2 linked regions of the Macaca fascicularis genome follow. The protein of the gene in region 2 interacts with the protein of the main gene of each other region in a pairwise test. Links are inferred from orthologs where the notes say so. Each region holds a gene or a part of one and is shown on either strand. Other genes may lie near its edges.

What was found. The genes of interacting proteins can lie anywhere in the genome.
Region 1: the proteins of PNMA1 (region 2) and ATP5PO interact in binary tests that used the Homo sapiens proteins (3 or more experiments, as listed by UniProt). The two-hybrid records come from large-scale screens. The link is inferred for Macaca fascicularis from reciprocal best matches to the Homo sapiens genes PNMA1 and ATP5PO.

Annotation. Positions count from the first base shown.
Region 1 is NC_088377.1:13,018,275-13,025,817, reverse strand, and holds part of ATP5PO (ATP synthase peripheral stalk subunit OSCP, mitochondrial), read right to left. Parts: intron 5,519-7,543; coding exon 5,389-5,518; intron 3,731-5,388; coding exon 3,618-3,730; intron 304-3,617; coding exon 217-303; intron 1-216. UniProt on the Homo sapiens protein: Subunit OSCP, of the mitochondrial membrane ATP synthase complex (F(1)F(0) ATP synthase or Complex V) that produces ATP from ADP in the presence of a proton gradient across the membrane which is generated by electron transport complexes of the respiratory chain.
Region 2 is NC_088381.1:141,638,302-141,646,571, forward strand, and holds PNMA1 (paraneoplastic antigen Ma1), read right to left. Parts: upstream 4,680-8,270; 5' UTR 3,915-4,679; coding exon 2,853-3,914; 3' UTR 2,055-2,852; downstream 1-2,054.

The sequences.
Region 1 (7,543 bases), on a different chromosome or scaffold from region 2:
TGTGCTACACAAATGTGAGAGGCTATAATTACACCTAGAAAAAGGCAAAAGTAAAACTGCACAGTCAGATCATCATTTACATTTAAAATAAAGACAAACTTTTAACTACAGAAAAATTAGTATAGAGTTAGATCTAATATTTCACTAGTACTTTCTGTAGCCATTTTAAGTTTAAAAGAACCTGAGGAAACATACCATAAATAATTTAAAACCCACCTTAGCCTCCAATTTCAATACTTGGCCTTGACTCAGGAAGCTCTTGAGGACAGTTTTTAATTCAGAGAGTGTGGCTTCTTCTAAAGGCTGAAAGGCAAAACCACCCTTTCAATTTAGATAAAGCAAAACAGAAACTTCCAGAGTTAAAAGACTCCAGGCCCACATCACCAAGACAGGCCTTGTGAGCGCCTCCCTTAGCCACCTGGGCCCATCATGGAGCTGCTCTGCAGCGTTCACTCCTTGTTCGCGCTGGAGGTTCAGGGAGCACAGGAAGGCCCTGCCTCACAGCATCACCTGGGCAGCTCCCACTCGGTCATTCATGGACTGCCTATAAATGCCACTTCCTCCCTGCCTCTGCTCTGTGTGCTAGCAGTACAACCTGGAATTAACAAGGAAAGGCCCTCAAGTTTCTAATGCCTGAAGACACAGCCCCACCAATGCAGGAGGACGCAGGCCCCTCCTGGGGCAGCCCTGGGGTCACAACATGCACCTATCATGTCCTTGGGTGAAAAGTTGCCATTTTAACCTGGTTTTACATCTTCATGTTTCCCTAGCTCTGCTGGCTGTTCATCTCCCCGCATCCACAGCTACCTGGAACTCTGGCAGGCCACTCCACTCTCTGAACCCCAGTGAGAGAACCTGGAGCAGCTGGCTTTTTCTGAAGTCAGCTCAGCTCCATAATCTACTTTAGAGCAAGCACCTCAAATATGCAGACTGCACTCTCCTCTCGGCCCCAACTCTTAATCCTGGTTAGTTATAATGTTAAAGTGTTAAGTGTTATAATGGTGAAAATGAAAAAGGCTATTAAAGCAAAGGCCTTTTTTTTGAGACCGAGTCTCGCTCTGTCACCCAGGCTGGAGTACAGTGGCGAGATCTCACCTCACTGCAGCCTCCGCCTCCCAGGTTCAAGCAATTCTCCTGCCTCAGCTTCCCAAGTAGCTGGAATTATAGGCGCGTGCCACCACACCCGGCTAATTTTTGTATTTTGAGTAGAGACGGGGTTTTACCATGTTGGTCAGGCTGGTCTCGAACTCCTGGCCTCAAGTGATCCACCCGCTTCAGTCTCCCAAAATGCTGGGGTTACAAGCGTGAGCCACCACACCCTGCTGCAAAGGCCTTTTTTCACTTGTCATAAATCGTACCTCCCTAGCCCCTCCTCCAAGAGCCTAAAAAAATTTAGCAAAAAAATTTGTCTTTGTAAAGATCTGACAATATCCTTTTTTGGGGGTAGGGGGTGGTGCTGTTGGCCACAGTCTATTCTTATTCAAAACATTATTTACTGAGACTAAAAGGTTACAGAATTCTGAAATATACATACCCTCCACTGAGACGTGTACAAACTGCCAGGTGCCTGTCTATGCCAGACATTTCATACCTACTATCTCCCTTCATGTGGGCAGCCCTGCAAGGCCAGTGGTTATTATTCCCATTTTACATATGAGGGAACTGAGGATCAGAGTGGTTAAGAAACTCACCTAAGGTCACATCAGCAAGTGAAGACTAGTCCCAATATTTAAAACCAGTCTGTGTATTTCTAAAGCCTGTGCTCTTAGTCATTCATCAAGATAATGTTTTTCAAACAGTACAGACTCACGGACCCAGTAGTATCAACATCAAAAGCATTAGTAACAGTTGGTTCTAAAATCTTTTGCAAAAGTAAGTATCCTTTAAAAGAAAATCATGTCCTTGTGGTTGGGCACGGTGGCTCACACCTGTGGCCCCAGGACTTTGGGAGGCCAAGGCGGGTGGCTTGCCTGAGGTCAGGAGTTCAAGACCAGCCTGGTCAACATGGTGAAACCCCGTCTCTACTAAAAATACAAAGAGTTAGCCGGGTGTGGTAGCAGGTGTCATAATCCCAGCTACTTGGGAGGCTGAGGCAGGAGAATTGCTTGAACCTGGGAGGCAGAGGTTGCAGTGAGCTGAGATTGTGCCACTGCACTCCAGCCCGGGTGCCAGAGTGAGACTCAGTCTCAAAAAAAAAGAAAGAAAAAGAAAGGAAGAAAAGAAAAGAAAAGAAAATCATGTCCTTGTATTCACTGAAGAATGCCCTGCACCAGTGCTTCATGATGGGTGACTGGGGGGCAGATGAATCTCTAATCTGCGCCACACTGTTAGGGATAACCGGTGCAGCCACAGAGGGCTCCCTGCCTATGTCTGGGCTGTAATGATTTGCAACCAGGCACATGTTTTGTGGGCACCAACTACTGAACTACAAATGTGCAAATAAGTATGATGTGCTGGGATGCCTCTCCTTGAATCTGTGCTAACTAGAAGGTCAGACTGTCCTTTAAACACTTAGAACTATTAATCTGGATGAGGTCAGGTGCTACAAATTCCAAGTAAATCTACCACACTCTCCTGTTTTCCTGTAGAGTGAGCTACATTACATTTGACTGAGTTACATAGGGAAGAAAATATGTATTTAAGACAATAACAAAATTAATTCTATGGAGGCAATGAAGTGTAGTAAAAGGAATATGGATTTCCAAGAGGCCTTGAGGCCTGTGTTCAAATTCTAGTCCCACCTCCTATGACTTTGGGCAAGTGACTGCATTTCCCTGCATTCGGCTTCCTCATCTGTAAAATGAGGATAATTATACTTCTATCTCACATGAATCTTTTGATACTGAATAAAATAATAAAGTACTCAGCATATAGTAGGGTTCAATAAATGGTAGCTAATTATAGCCCACTCTATATAAGATACAAAGGCCCACCCATTCTACTCCTTCCCATTCACCACCACAAAAGATGAAAGGTTTGCAACTCTAGTTTCAGGCCAGGTGTGGTAGCTTACACCTTTATTCCCAGCACTTTAGGAGGCCGAGGCAGGTGAGTCACTTGAGCCCAGAAGTTCAAGACAAGCCTGGAGAACACGGTAAAACCCCCACCTCTACAAAAAATACAAAAAAATTAGCTGGGTGTGGTGGGGGTGCACTGTAGTCCCAGCTACCCAGGAGGATGAGGCAGGAGGATCACCTGAGCCCAGAAGGTTGAGGCTGCAGAAGTGTGATCACGTCACTGCACTCCAGCCTGGGTGACAAAGTGAGACTGTCTCAAAAAAAACTCTAGAACTCTAGTTTCAGTAAACTACTTCAAGCGGCATTTATAATATAATTCAAACATATAATGGAGTCTAAACCACTCTTTTCTAACACAGTTTGATGTACTTTACATTTAACCCAGGCCTTATGAATAAATCACTGGTTACAGAAGCACTAATAAGATACATGCTGGCTTTTCCAAAGCAAAGGGTCACAGAAGCTGATATAAAAATGAAACAAACATCCCAGGTGACAAGTGACCTTTCCCCATTTCTTGATTTTACTGTTTTTTCCTTCTTCCTGCAAAAGGTGGCGCATGTAATATCAAGGCAAACACAGCAGCAACCCATTACTTACAGATGCAGTGGTCACCGTGCAAGGCACCTCTCCGCGATGGACACTCATCATGGTAGAAAAGGCAGAAACGACTCCCTGGGCATTGCTTAAGCGACCATTTTCCGCAAGCAAATCTGGCAGAGTGAAGGTGTCTCAGTAACACGAAACTCACCTGAACAAGTTATTCATGAAGCCGTATACTCAACCCAAAAAACAAACTTAGATGTGTGGCCTTAAAACACCATATTCAGGGGTGCATGCCTATAATCCCAACTACTGGAGGCTGAGGCGCAAAGATTGCTTGAGGCCATGAGTTCAAGACCAGCCAACATAGCGAGATCCCAACTCTACAAAAAAACGTTAGGGCTTGGTGGTGCATGTCTAGAGTCCCAGCTATTCAGGAGGATGAGGCAGGAAGATTGCTTGAGCCTAGGAGTTTAAGGCTGCAGTGTGCTATGATTGTCTTACTGCACCCCAGCCTGGGTGACAGAGTAAGATCTTGTCTCTTAAAATCACAATATATTCAATGTCCTTTAAGAATATGAATGGAGGCTGAGTGCAGTGGCTCACGCCTATAATCCTAGCACTTTGGGAGGCCGAGGTGGGCAGACAGCTTGCGTCCAGGATTTTGAGACCAGCCTGGGTAACATGGTGAAACCCCGTCTCTACCAAAAAAAAAAAAAAAAAAAAAACCTCAAAAGTTAGCTGGGCATGGTGGGGCATGCTTGTAGTTCCAGCTACTCAGGAGGCTGAGGAAGAAGGATCACTTAAGCTCAGGTGGCAGAGGCTGCAGTGAGCCGAGACTGTGCCACTGCACTCCAGCTTTGGTGACAGAAAGAGACACCCAGTCTCAAAAAAAAAGAATGAAGATACAACTTGTTATTTAAAATGCATATTCGATTTTGTTTTTTTAAATAGACTGTACTGACAAGGATTTAAATTAGTAGGTATGGGGGGTTCTCACCCATACAGGTCTGCAACAGACCTCTTGTACTGAGCTTGCAATCTGATTTTCATATTTACGTTACAGATTATACGTTTGGCTACAAATTCAAAGATGATACCGTAAACACACTTTCTTTGCAATTTTTATTTTGAGCTGGCTATGACGATCTGAAAAGCAATCCAGGCCTCATGGTGGCTCACGCCTGTAATCCCAACACTTTGGGAAGCCAAGGTAGGCAGATGGCTTGAGCCCAGGAGTTCAAGACCAGGCTGGGCAACATGGAGAAACCCCATCTCTACAAAAAATACAAAAAATTAGCTGGGTGTGGTGGCATGCACCTGTATTCCCAGCTACTAGGGAGGCTGAGGTGGGAGGAGCACCTGAGTCTGGGAGGTTGAGGGTGCAGTGAGCTGAGATCGTGCCACTGTACTCCAGCCTGAGTGACAGAGTAAGACTCTGTCTCAATGAAGAAAAAAAAGAAAAAAGAGAGAAAAGCAGTCCAAATGTACCCAAGAATGCAAATGTCTCCAAGGATCAAGGTATACCCACAGGCCACAAACCATTTTCTTGGTAGGTATCATATTGGCTGCCTCCACAGTTGAAACTACTGACTATGCAATTAGACACGCTTAGGTCCTAGCATCCTTTAGACAGTGCTCCTCACACTTTAATATGCAAACAATTCACTTAGGGAGCTGCTTAAGATGCAGACTCTGATTCAGCAGGTGAGGCCTGAGATTCTTCACTGCCAACAGGCTCCCAGGTGATGCTGATGCCCATGGTCCATGGACCACATTTCCAGTCACGGTTTTAAGACACCTCAAATGAAAAAGTTCTAATACTCACTGATCAGGTTGGTGGTGAGGGGAGAGAACCTCTCTTTTGCTGTGATGTCATTTAGGCTTTTCACTTTAATAGAACGCTTCACATAGGGATTCAAAACAGAAGCAGCCACTTTGGGTTCCTTCAGGATTTGCTGAAAGTGTAAAAAAAAATTTCTTAAATTTTTTAGAGCACAAATGAAGGATGTGCCATGCACACACTTTCTTCTTTTTTGGAGACAAAGTCTTGCTCTGTCGCCTAGGCTGGAGTGCAGTGGCACAATCTTGGCTCACGCAACCTCTGCATCCTGGGTTCAAGCGATTCTCCTGCCTCAGCCTCCCAGATAGCTGGGATTACAGGTGTGCGCCACCATGTCTGACTAATTTTTGTATTTTTAGTAGAAAAGGGGTTTTGCCATGTTGGCCAGGCTGGTCTTAAACTCCTGACCTCAAGTGATCCACCCACCTCGGCCTCCCAAAGTGCTGCGATTACAGGCATGAGCCACTGTGCCTGGCCATACACACACTTTCTTATGAATTAAGTATTTTATGAATTAAATTAGCACTGCCAAAGAACTTATGACAAAAATATTATAATCAAACAATTTTCTGACGGCCTTTCAGAATACACTGCACTGCACCAGGATTTTATATAGGATAGAATGATGTTCCTCAAAAAAATTTAAAAATACTGTATGAAATTTCTTAAATTTATTTTTGCTTTTCAAGAAAGATTATAAAACACTAAGCAGCCAAACTTCACTTGACTGCATATTTTAATGTATTTAAGAGTATTAGTCTGGCTTTTCTAGCAGTGCTATTTCTAAAGTGCAGACCTCAAAACTGTGCTCTGACTGCAGAGGCCTCCTCACTGCTCCCTTGGAGGGGTCCTGCCTCTTACAGTGTCCAGGGAACCCAGCAGATTCTGCGAGACCTCTGGTGCTGCCAGAGCAGCCAGACCCAAAGAGTCTGGGAGACAGAGTGGACAAAAAACGGGAGCACAACCATCATGGGAAACGACCTTCTTCTCATTTTGTTATATCACAAATATCTGCATTCAGTGACCAAGTGCAGCTTCCAGCATGTTGCTCCAGAGTTCCAACAAACCAACAATGGCAGCTTCCAGTCAAGCACCTTCAGTTAACACACCTCTCTATGCCTCAATTACTCTCCTAGCACCTCCTCCCAGGCTCCTGGCCAGAATCCTGTCTCTGATCCAGGATACTGGTCAGATACTATCATCCAATGCTAACATTTCCACTTGAGTGACCCCACAGAAATGACATTTTTCCATAAAAAATGCAGGCATACACAGATTGAAAGCATTCTGGAATTTGGGTTACCTAGTTTTTCATGTTTATCTGTGTCTCCTGCATCATCCAGAGGACAGTGAGTATGATGCTTGCATTATCCTTCCCTCTTAATGCCAAAACTCTGCTAATATTCAGAGTGTCTTCAGATAATTGCCTCCCTTTTTCTCCATGTCTTGACTGACTTCCAGGCTTTAGACAAACTCCATTCTAATGCCCACAATCCAAGTCATTCTCTCCATTGTAAACACGATTGTTTCTGTTTAAAATGGGCATAACTGACAAGTAGCAGACAATAACCATCACCTCCAAAAACGCCTGTGTGAGACCCCGTCTGTTCCTGCATGCCCTTCCTCCAAATGTCTCCAACAACAGGGCTGGGTTCCTGGGCTCTGTGAGAATCATTAAGAGTTTATCACACCAGCTAAGACCTTAAGCATTATCTGCAGAGGTAAATGGATCAAGGAAGGAATATGGAGCTAAAATTATTCTGCCTGTTAAGACGGAAGTTCCAACAGAAGCTCAAGTGAAAAATGAATAAAACATAAACAGTACAGAACAGTAATACTTATAGACTATACACACGATGATTAATATAGAACATAAGAATTATTATTCTATACAACTGGCCTATGAACTGTTTTTCCTAAACAATAAAAACTTACAGACATATGAATTAAGGAATGAAGAATCTTTTTTTTGTTTTTGAGACAGAGTCTTGTTCTGTTACCCAGGCTGGAGTACAATGGCATGATCTCGGCTCACTGCAAGCTCCGCCTCCCGGGTTCACGCCATTCTCCTGCCTCAGCCTCCCCAGCAGCTGGGACTACAGGCACATGCCGCCATGCCGGGCTTTTTTGTATTTTTAGT
Region 2 (8,270 bases):
AAAAATGTAGTATGTGTGTATATGTGTGGAGTGGGAGTGTGTACATATATGTGGTGGCTCGTTGGTGTTTGGTGGTGGGAGTGTGTGTGGGTGTGAGGAGAAGTGGGAATGTATGTTGAGGTTGGGAGAGTGGCATAGTGTACATGGAACGGGAGGAGGGTGTATGTTATCCGGAGAGTACTGAGGGGGAGATGACAGTGAATGTGTCCAGAGTGTGAGAGGTCGGCTGAGTGCATGCCTGATGCTGGTGGGAATGGAGGGGAAAGTTATGTGAATGGTGGGTAGTGGGTGAAGACATGCCGAGTGTTTGTGGTAAGTGAAGCTGAGCGTATCTGTTGGGAACCAAGGCAAGTATGTGGAGATGTGTTTGTGACAGGAGGAAAGGGATGTACAGACGTGAAGCGAATATGTGCACCGAAAAATCTGGAAGAACATACATTACCCCTTATAAACTTGTCGAATGGCTCAGCTATAATTTTAAAACCTTATTAGGGAAAAGCTCACTGAACACAATATTCATGTAGTAACTTTAGATTCACTGAGGACCTCAAAAGATGGATATCTTCAATCACTGAATCTTTGCCTCAAAAAAAACATGTTTTATAGCTGTATTTCCCTTTTTATATCTTCCTGTTATAAATGGCTGCTGTAAAATAAGCCGTCATTTTACACAGGTGTGATGAATTATAGTTATTTCTTCAGTGAAATAAAATGTTTAGCTGAAAAGTGATCTTAAGAGAAAAACATTGCCAGATAACCTCCTGAACCCCATTTCAAGATTTTCTAAAAAAAATTTTTTGAGAAACAGGGTCTCACTTTATCACCAGGTTGGAGTGCGGTGGGGCGATCATGGCGCACTGCAGCCTCAACCTCCTGAGCTCAAGCAATCTCCCACCTCAGCTGCCTGAGCTGCTGGGACCACAGGCCTGTGCCACCATGCCTGGCTAATTTTTAAAAATGTATGTGGAGATTGGGTCTGTGTTGCCCAGGCTGGTCTCAAAATCTTGGCTTCAGGCAATCCTCCCTAAGTGCTGGGATTACAAGTGTGAGCCACCATATCTGGTCTCTAAATTTTTTTTTTTTTTTTTTTGAGACGGAGTCTCGCTCTGTCGCCCAGGCTGGAGTGCAGTGGCGCGATCTCGGCTCACTGCAAGCTCCGCCTCCCGGGTTCACGCCATTCTCCTGCCTCAGCCTCCCGAGTAGCTGGGACTACAGGCGCCCACAACCGCGCCCGGCTAATTTTTTGTATTTTTAGTAGAGACGGGGTTTCACCGTGGTCTCGATATCCTGACCTTGTGATCCGCCCGCCTCGGCCTCCCAAAGTGCTGGGATTACAGGCGTGAGCCACCGCGCCCGGCCTAGATTTTTTTTTTTTTTTTGAGACAAGAGTCTCACTCTGTTGCCCAGGCTGCAGTGCAGTGGCGCAATCTCGGCTCACTGCAACCTCTGCCTCCCAGAGTGATTCTCCTGCCTCAGCTTCCCAAGTAGCCGGAATTAAAGGCACCCACCACCACACCCGGCTAATTTTTGTATTTTTAGTAGAAAAAACTAGATGGCTCATGCCTGTAATCCCAGCACTTTGGGAAGCCGAGGCAGGTGGATCACTTGAGGTCAGGCGTTCCAGACCAACCTGACCAACGTGGTGAAACCCATCTCTACTAAAAAAAATACAAAATTAGCTAGGTGTGGTGGCACATGCCTGTAATCCCAGCTACTCAGGAGGCTGAGGCAGGAGAATCACTTGAATCCGGGAGGCAGACGTTGCAGTGAGCTGAGATCGCTCCATTGCACTCCAGCCTGGGCAACAGAGCAAGACCCTCTCTGCCCTTAATAAAAATAAAAAATTTAAAAAATTAAAAAATAAACCAAAAAAATGTTAAGATGACAGCAAGAGGGGAAGGAAAAAAAAGGACTTGCCATTTAAATTCACATAGTATCATACAAAGCTTAAGAGTAAAATAAATGGTTTAATGACAAAGTCTTCATAAGAAAAAAGGACAGAGTTTACTTAGGCTAAAAATGTTTATACATGCCAGAAAAATGAGAAGACAACAGAATTTTTAAAATATTTTAATTTGTATATATAACTTCAAATTTAGAACACTCAGTATGAACAAGAACTATTCTCTGACAAAGATCTGAAATGGGGAAGTGAATTACTGTACAGGTGCATATCAACCTCTCCATGCAATTTACATCTGTATCTTATGCAATGAGAAACTGGTTTACACAGCTCCGTAATTGCAGTATTTTTTTAACACCCCATTTTGCAGTCTCAGAATACTTTTCAATTAAACTGATCGACATGTTTAAAGATGAGAAATATGATGTTTGCATTGTAAAGTTGAGTAATAGCTAATAAATGCACATTTCCTTCCATCAATATAAATCTGGAACTATTTATGGTAAAGAAAAATCTATCTGCGCTATCAGTAATCTAATAGTTCATACTTTTACTGAACACTTCCTGTGAGCCAGGCCCCGTAGTAAACATCTGCACATGCAATTTCACATTCAGTGTGGAATAGGAAGTGTCAGAGGTTCGTGTGTTTTTCACAACTGATTATGATGTCCATGATGACAGCGTGCACTAAGCGCTGTGTCCAACCAACCCTTTACCTGGCACTTTAGCCAGCAAGACCCACTTGCATTGTAGCAGCTCACGGTGCTCGCTTGCACAATTTTAGAATGTTACATGAATACTCAGGCCTGACTAACCTTCCCCTCCAAAAAAACAACAAAACGGAACAGGGCTAAGCCTTTACTACTCAGAGACACATCTGTAAGACCCCCACAGGGACAAGAAAACTAGCTGTGATCTAGGTCTGCACTAAAGCTGTCTTTTCTGGCACTCAGAAGTGCCCTTCCAGGCCTAACTGCAGAAGGGTGGCCTCAGCCTCCTCCTCCTCCTCCTTGGCTTCCTCCTCACGGATCTGCACCAGCAACTGAAAGAGGTTTGGGGCCGGCCCTTCCCCAGCCCCGGTAAGCCACAGCTGCCTTCGGATGGCCCCGCTGTGGTTGGCCCCAGCAATGACCTGCTCTAGGCGGGCCTGGTTCACGTTATCTTTATCAATGGCCCCCTTCTCTACCACCTTCTGTAGCAGAGGCTCCAGACGAATGACATAAGCAGACAATTTTTCTCCCGGGTTCTGATAAGTGTTCAGAAATTTGATCTGGGCATCCCTAGAGCTCTCAACGCTCCCAAACACCTGCTCAAGCGCCTTCAGGCATTCGGCAGTGGTTATCGCGGGGTTGTTGGACTTGAGGATGCGAATGACATCAGCGGCAGGGCCTCTAAGGCTCTCCATCAACCGCCGCCTCTTTTCTACATCGGACACCTGCCACTCCTCTAGGACCTCATTAGTGTGCTCCAGCCAGGGATCAAAGGTTTCCTCTCCAGGCCCTGGGATGTCCCTCCCCGAGAAAAGTGTCAGCCTCTTGTACCATATGGACTCAACAAGAGGCTGAATAACATTATCCAAAATATAGTTTAGCATCTCTGCTGGCATCTCTGGGCCCGGGGTCGGAGTAGGGTTCTGAAACCCAAGGACACGCGCAACATCTTGCACGGTCCACCCCTCTCTAGCTAGGAAGAGGTGCAATCTTTCTAAAAATTCAGCATCAGAAGTTGGGGGCTTAAACAACACTTTCCAGACCCCTCCTTTGCCCGGCATCTCCCTGGGGATCGCGGCGTAATCGACAGCGCCAGTGAGCTCTAATAAGGCTGCTTTCGCATTTTCTTCCCTCCAGAACATTCTCCCAAGCATTCGGTAGGGGACCTGGGGCATCGCTGCCTGGAGGGTCTCTTCGATTTCAGCCTCATCACAGTTCACTGGGATGCCCCAGACCAACAGAGCTCTCTGGGAGTTCACATCCATCCCCCGGCACCAGTCTTCCAACAGTGTCATCGCCATTTTCTCAACTATCAAGACGCCAATTCTACCAACAGACTGTGGCTCACCGTACTCCTGGCCTTAGAACAATACCAGACACTCCCACCAAATAGGCCCAAGGGAGGTAGGCTTCATGCATTCACGACTAACAAAGACACAGAGTCCTGATCTCGCCCTTCTCTGCCCCCCCAGTCAGTCCGTAGGTACACTTGGAGCTGAGCTCGGGGACGCTGAGGAAGTCACGCGGCCGTCGCCATCTTGCGTCTGGGTCCGGGTCCGGTCGGGTCTGCCGCTTGCAGCCGGGCTGTCGCGTCGTCGTGCAGCGGGCAAGGAGCGAGGGCGGGCGGCGAAGGCAGGCGCGCTGGGTCGAAAGCAGCCGGGGTGTGGTCGCGGGGCGTGCCCGCCGGGCGCTCGCTGCGGCTCCTGGAGAGGATCGGGCGTTCGCGGTCGCAGCCCGGTCTTCCCGCGGGCGAGGAGCGGCCGTTTGGGAGACTAGCCAGAGGGAGAGACTGTGCCGAAGTCGCGGCGGCTGCGGGCCAGCGGAGAGCGGCTTCTTGGAGGGCGTGGGGACTCCTCTTGGCGGGCGCGGGGACTCCTCTGGGCGGGCGGCGAGGACGGCCGAGGACCAGAAACGAAGGCAGCAGAGGAGCAGGAAAGCCGGAGAAGCGAGGCTGGAAACAGCACAGGCAAGGGTGGGCAGCGGCGGCCGCGGCGGCCTGCAGCGGCTCAGGCGCTGCGCGGCTGCCCCAGCGTCGAGTCCTACCCGCAACCCGCTGCGACGTTACTGCTGCAGTGGAGGATGGGGCCAGCCCGCGAGCGGCGTCAGCCCCGCCCCGTCCCGCCCCCGCGGCGGAGCCGCTCGGGCGTCGCCATGGCAACGGCGCCCCAGCTGGCGCGAATCACGCCTGCTCCGGCGGCCCGCGGGGGTCGAGCGGTTGCCATGGTGCCAGCGAGGGGCTTGGGCATTTGTTTCTCTGATGGCGCATTTCCTTTTTCATAATTTTCCATTTTAACAGCAAACAAATACTGCTAAGCACCGTGTTTTAAAAATAATAACCCAATCCTGGAGTGCATTTAAGATGATACTATTGGAAGTCATGGCATCCCTCATGGTGGACTTGTCTACTCGGGTTGCCCAGCCAGTCCACCCTGCACGTGAAAATACTCTCCTCAGAACCCTGGCTTCCCGTTACCCCTGACCACACTGTGCACCCTGCATATTTTATCCCAATGAAGCCGGAGTGCGCCATTTTTTGTGTGAGATACTGAGTTTAGACTTTTTCTTGTCTAAACTTTTGTAAACATCTGTTTGTCTGTGTCTACTGAGTCATCTTTTAGCCAGGCAAACATTAGTGTTATTTTCCTTTTCCTGGCTGGCATCGACAATAGGCTGCTAAAAGAGAATCCTTATGGCTCAAAAATGTCGAGTAATCTCCCTGCAAGCAAGACAAGGCCCACTTACATCAACCCCAGATGGTGAAAATCCCGAGAGAACATAGCATTCAACTCTGAATTTTTAAAACCTTATTTAATAAAAGGTTTAAAGATACAGAAGAACATTCAAAAGTAAATAAGTTACATAGGTACATTACAATCACATCAGCAAGATTCTTTAGTGTATTAATTTTTTCTTATAAAAAGCACACAAAAAATAAAATCTTCAGTCTCTATCACAACTGTACAGCAAAAGAGGTAATATTTATATGTATGTACACTATTTTAATATGTAACAGTCTTTTTCAAAAAGGGTGCCACAGGCAGCAAACACACAAAAGGCAGTGTCTGATCATTTTTGTTTCAAAATAAAAGGAATATACTTATTTATATGCTATTAAAATATTTGTACAATAATTACAGACTGTCAAGGCTGTTCCTGTGCTCTGTCCCCTCCAACAAGGCCTTCAACTTAGAGACAAATGAGGAAAAAGTGAAACAGCTGCAAATTGTTAGAGGCAAATATTAACATAGCAAAATGTGGGGAGGACACAATTGTTTTATAAAAATATCCCTACTTCCTGTAAACCTATGGAGTTAGGCTTGCCAGTCTGATAATAAATACCGTCCCAGAAAAGCGAGCCCCAGTGAAAACAACTAAACAGCTGAGGCTTGAGCATGTGTTGTATTCCTCCTTCATCTTAACATCTGGCACATGAGAAGAAAGAGGTTAGGTCACTGAGGCAGTTAAATATAGGCGATCCCTTTAGACATAAGCAGCAAAAGACCTTGGTGCCAGGAGTGGAAGGGGGCGCGGCAGAAGGGGTGGTATGTACCTTAGCTGTGAGGGGGGCTGCTGAAGGCATGGAGGACAGTAATGATGGCTCTGCCTCCTTGGATGGGTGGAGACCTCAGAAATGGTCTGCAGCACAGGCACTAGGTCAGTTTCCCGCCCTTAGCTGAATGCAGATGGATGCTGGGAGATGGATATGGTGAGATGGTGTGGGGAGGATGTTAAGAAAGCTGGAGGTGTTTATCACTTCTCAGAGCTCTGAATATAGGGAAAAAAACAACAAGAGACAAGCCCAGGGAGAAAGCACCATTAAGGATATACCTATGCCAGCTTCTATAGCTGCACCTACTTTATTGGCAAGTCACTTGCCACAATTACATCTACCCTCTAAACTTTTTAATTTTCACACTGTATCCAAGACATGAATGCATCCTGGAGCATGGACCTTCCTAAAATATGGTGTCTGGCAGGATTAATGCAGAGAGGTACCATCTTGATTTTCCCCAGTTACATTCACCGGGTCTGGTCTCTGTAAGCTTAGAAGAGTAGAATCACTTTCTTGTTTAAACATTTACGGCCGGGCGCGGTGGTTCACGCCTGTAATGCCAGCACTTTGGGAGGCCGAGGCGAGTGGATCACCTAAGGTCAGGAGTTCAAGACCAGCCTGTCCAACATGGCAAAACCCCGTCTCTACTAAAAAAAAAAACATACAAAAATATTAGCTGGGTGTGGTGGTGTGTGCCTGTAATCCCAGCTACTCAGGAGGCTGAAGCAGGAGAATCCTTTAACCCGAGAGGCAGAGGTTGCAGTGAGCCGAGATCGCACCACTGCACTCCAGCCTGGGCGACAGAATGGGACTCTGTCGCAAAAAAAAAAAAAATTTTTTTTCCAAGTACAAGATGTTACCACTGAACAAAAGGGTCTCCTGAATGATGGAGGTTTCTGTTACCCTATGTCCATAAAGGGGACTGAAACCAAATATGGTTTGAATAGAAAAAACCTTGGGAAACGTAAGTAGCACTTTGGGGCTAAGCTGCGAAGGCACTCGTATTATACAAGTAATTTCGAAGAGAGCCTAAATTTGCTACCCCCCTGCTTCTACAGGGTATACCAGATTTTTGCTGTCTTGGGATACTGAGCTCATGGAAACCTGTGGAGGAAACTAACCGGGAAGTTGGGGATGTAGGTAGTCATCCAAGAGTCTGGAGGGAGAAGAAATTTGTTACTTCCACAGCCGGGGTCCTGTAGAACCACATTAATGTATAAATGGATGCTGAAAAATACCTCACAGTGCACAGTTTCAAAACAAAACTCCCTCTCCACTCCCAGTTACTGACCTGACGCTTCTTGGCTATCTCGTAAGGAGTAGCAGTATGAATACTTTCTGGCTCCTTCCTAATACATTGACCTGTCATACGCGCATTCACTTAGAATTTCTTTTGCACAACTCAGTTGAGTAAGATCAGAAAAACAGCTGAGCCCCGCTCTAGCCCCGCTATGGGACTGGACGTGAAGGGGCCTCCAGAACCTCCTGGCCCTTTCACTTCACCCATGCCAAATATGGCTTCTTCAAACCACAATCCAGGCCCCATAAACCAAATTAGAATCCTGGCCTGTTGCCAATTCCCTTAGGCAAAGCACAGCCAGAGAAGGGGCAGCAAGAACTGCCTTTGATCTCCCTTGCTCTGTGTGGCTTTGGTGACACCCTCCACCTTCCCACCCTCTTCCAGTGTTGCTATCATTCCTACCGGCAAGAGCTTCCAGAGCAACCAGGTGAGGGACCTTAGGGCCTCGGGAATTCGGGGGGGATGGGGGATGTCAAGATGCCTCGTTTTGGGATAAATGCACTTGGGCCTCTGAAAAGCAGGAGGCCCCTGGTCCCTGAGAGGATGTTAAAAATTAAATACTAAGAATAAATAAATAGCTCCCAAATGACACGAGTCAAGGAATGAAGGCTCCTGTCCAATCGAGTTAGGAGACCTCTCCCTCCTAGGGAAGGATCCAGAAATCTCCAGCGTGCAGGCCTGGGGGCTGGGTTGTGGATATCGACACTGGGTGGGGTGCGGTGGGGTTAGGTGTAGCTGCTGAGGTCAGGGCAGAGGCAAGGACGCTGGCTCCCAGGACGGGCAGGCTGAGCCTCTCTGGGACCT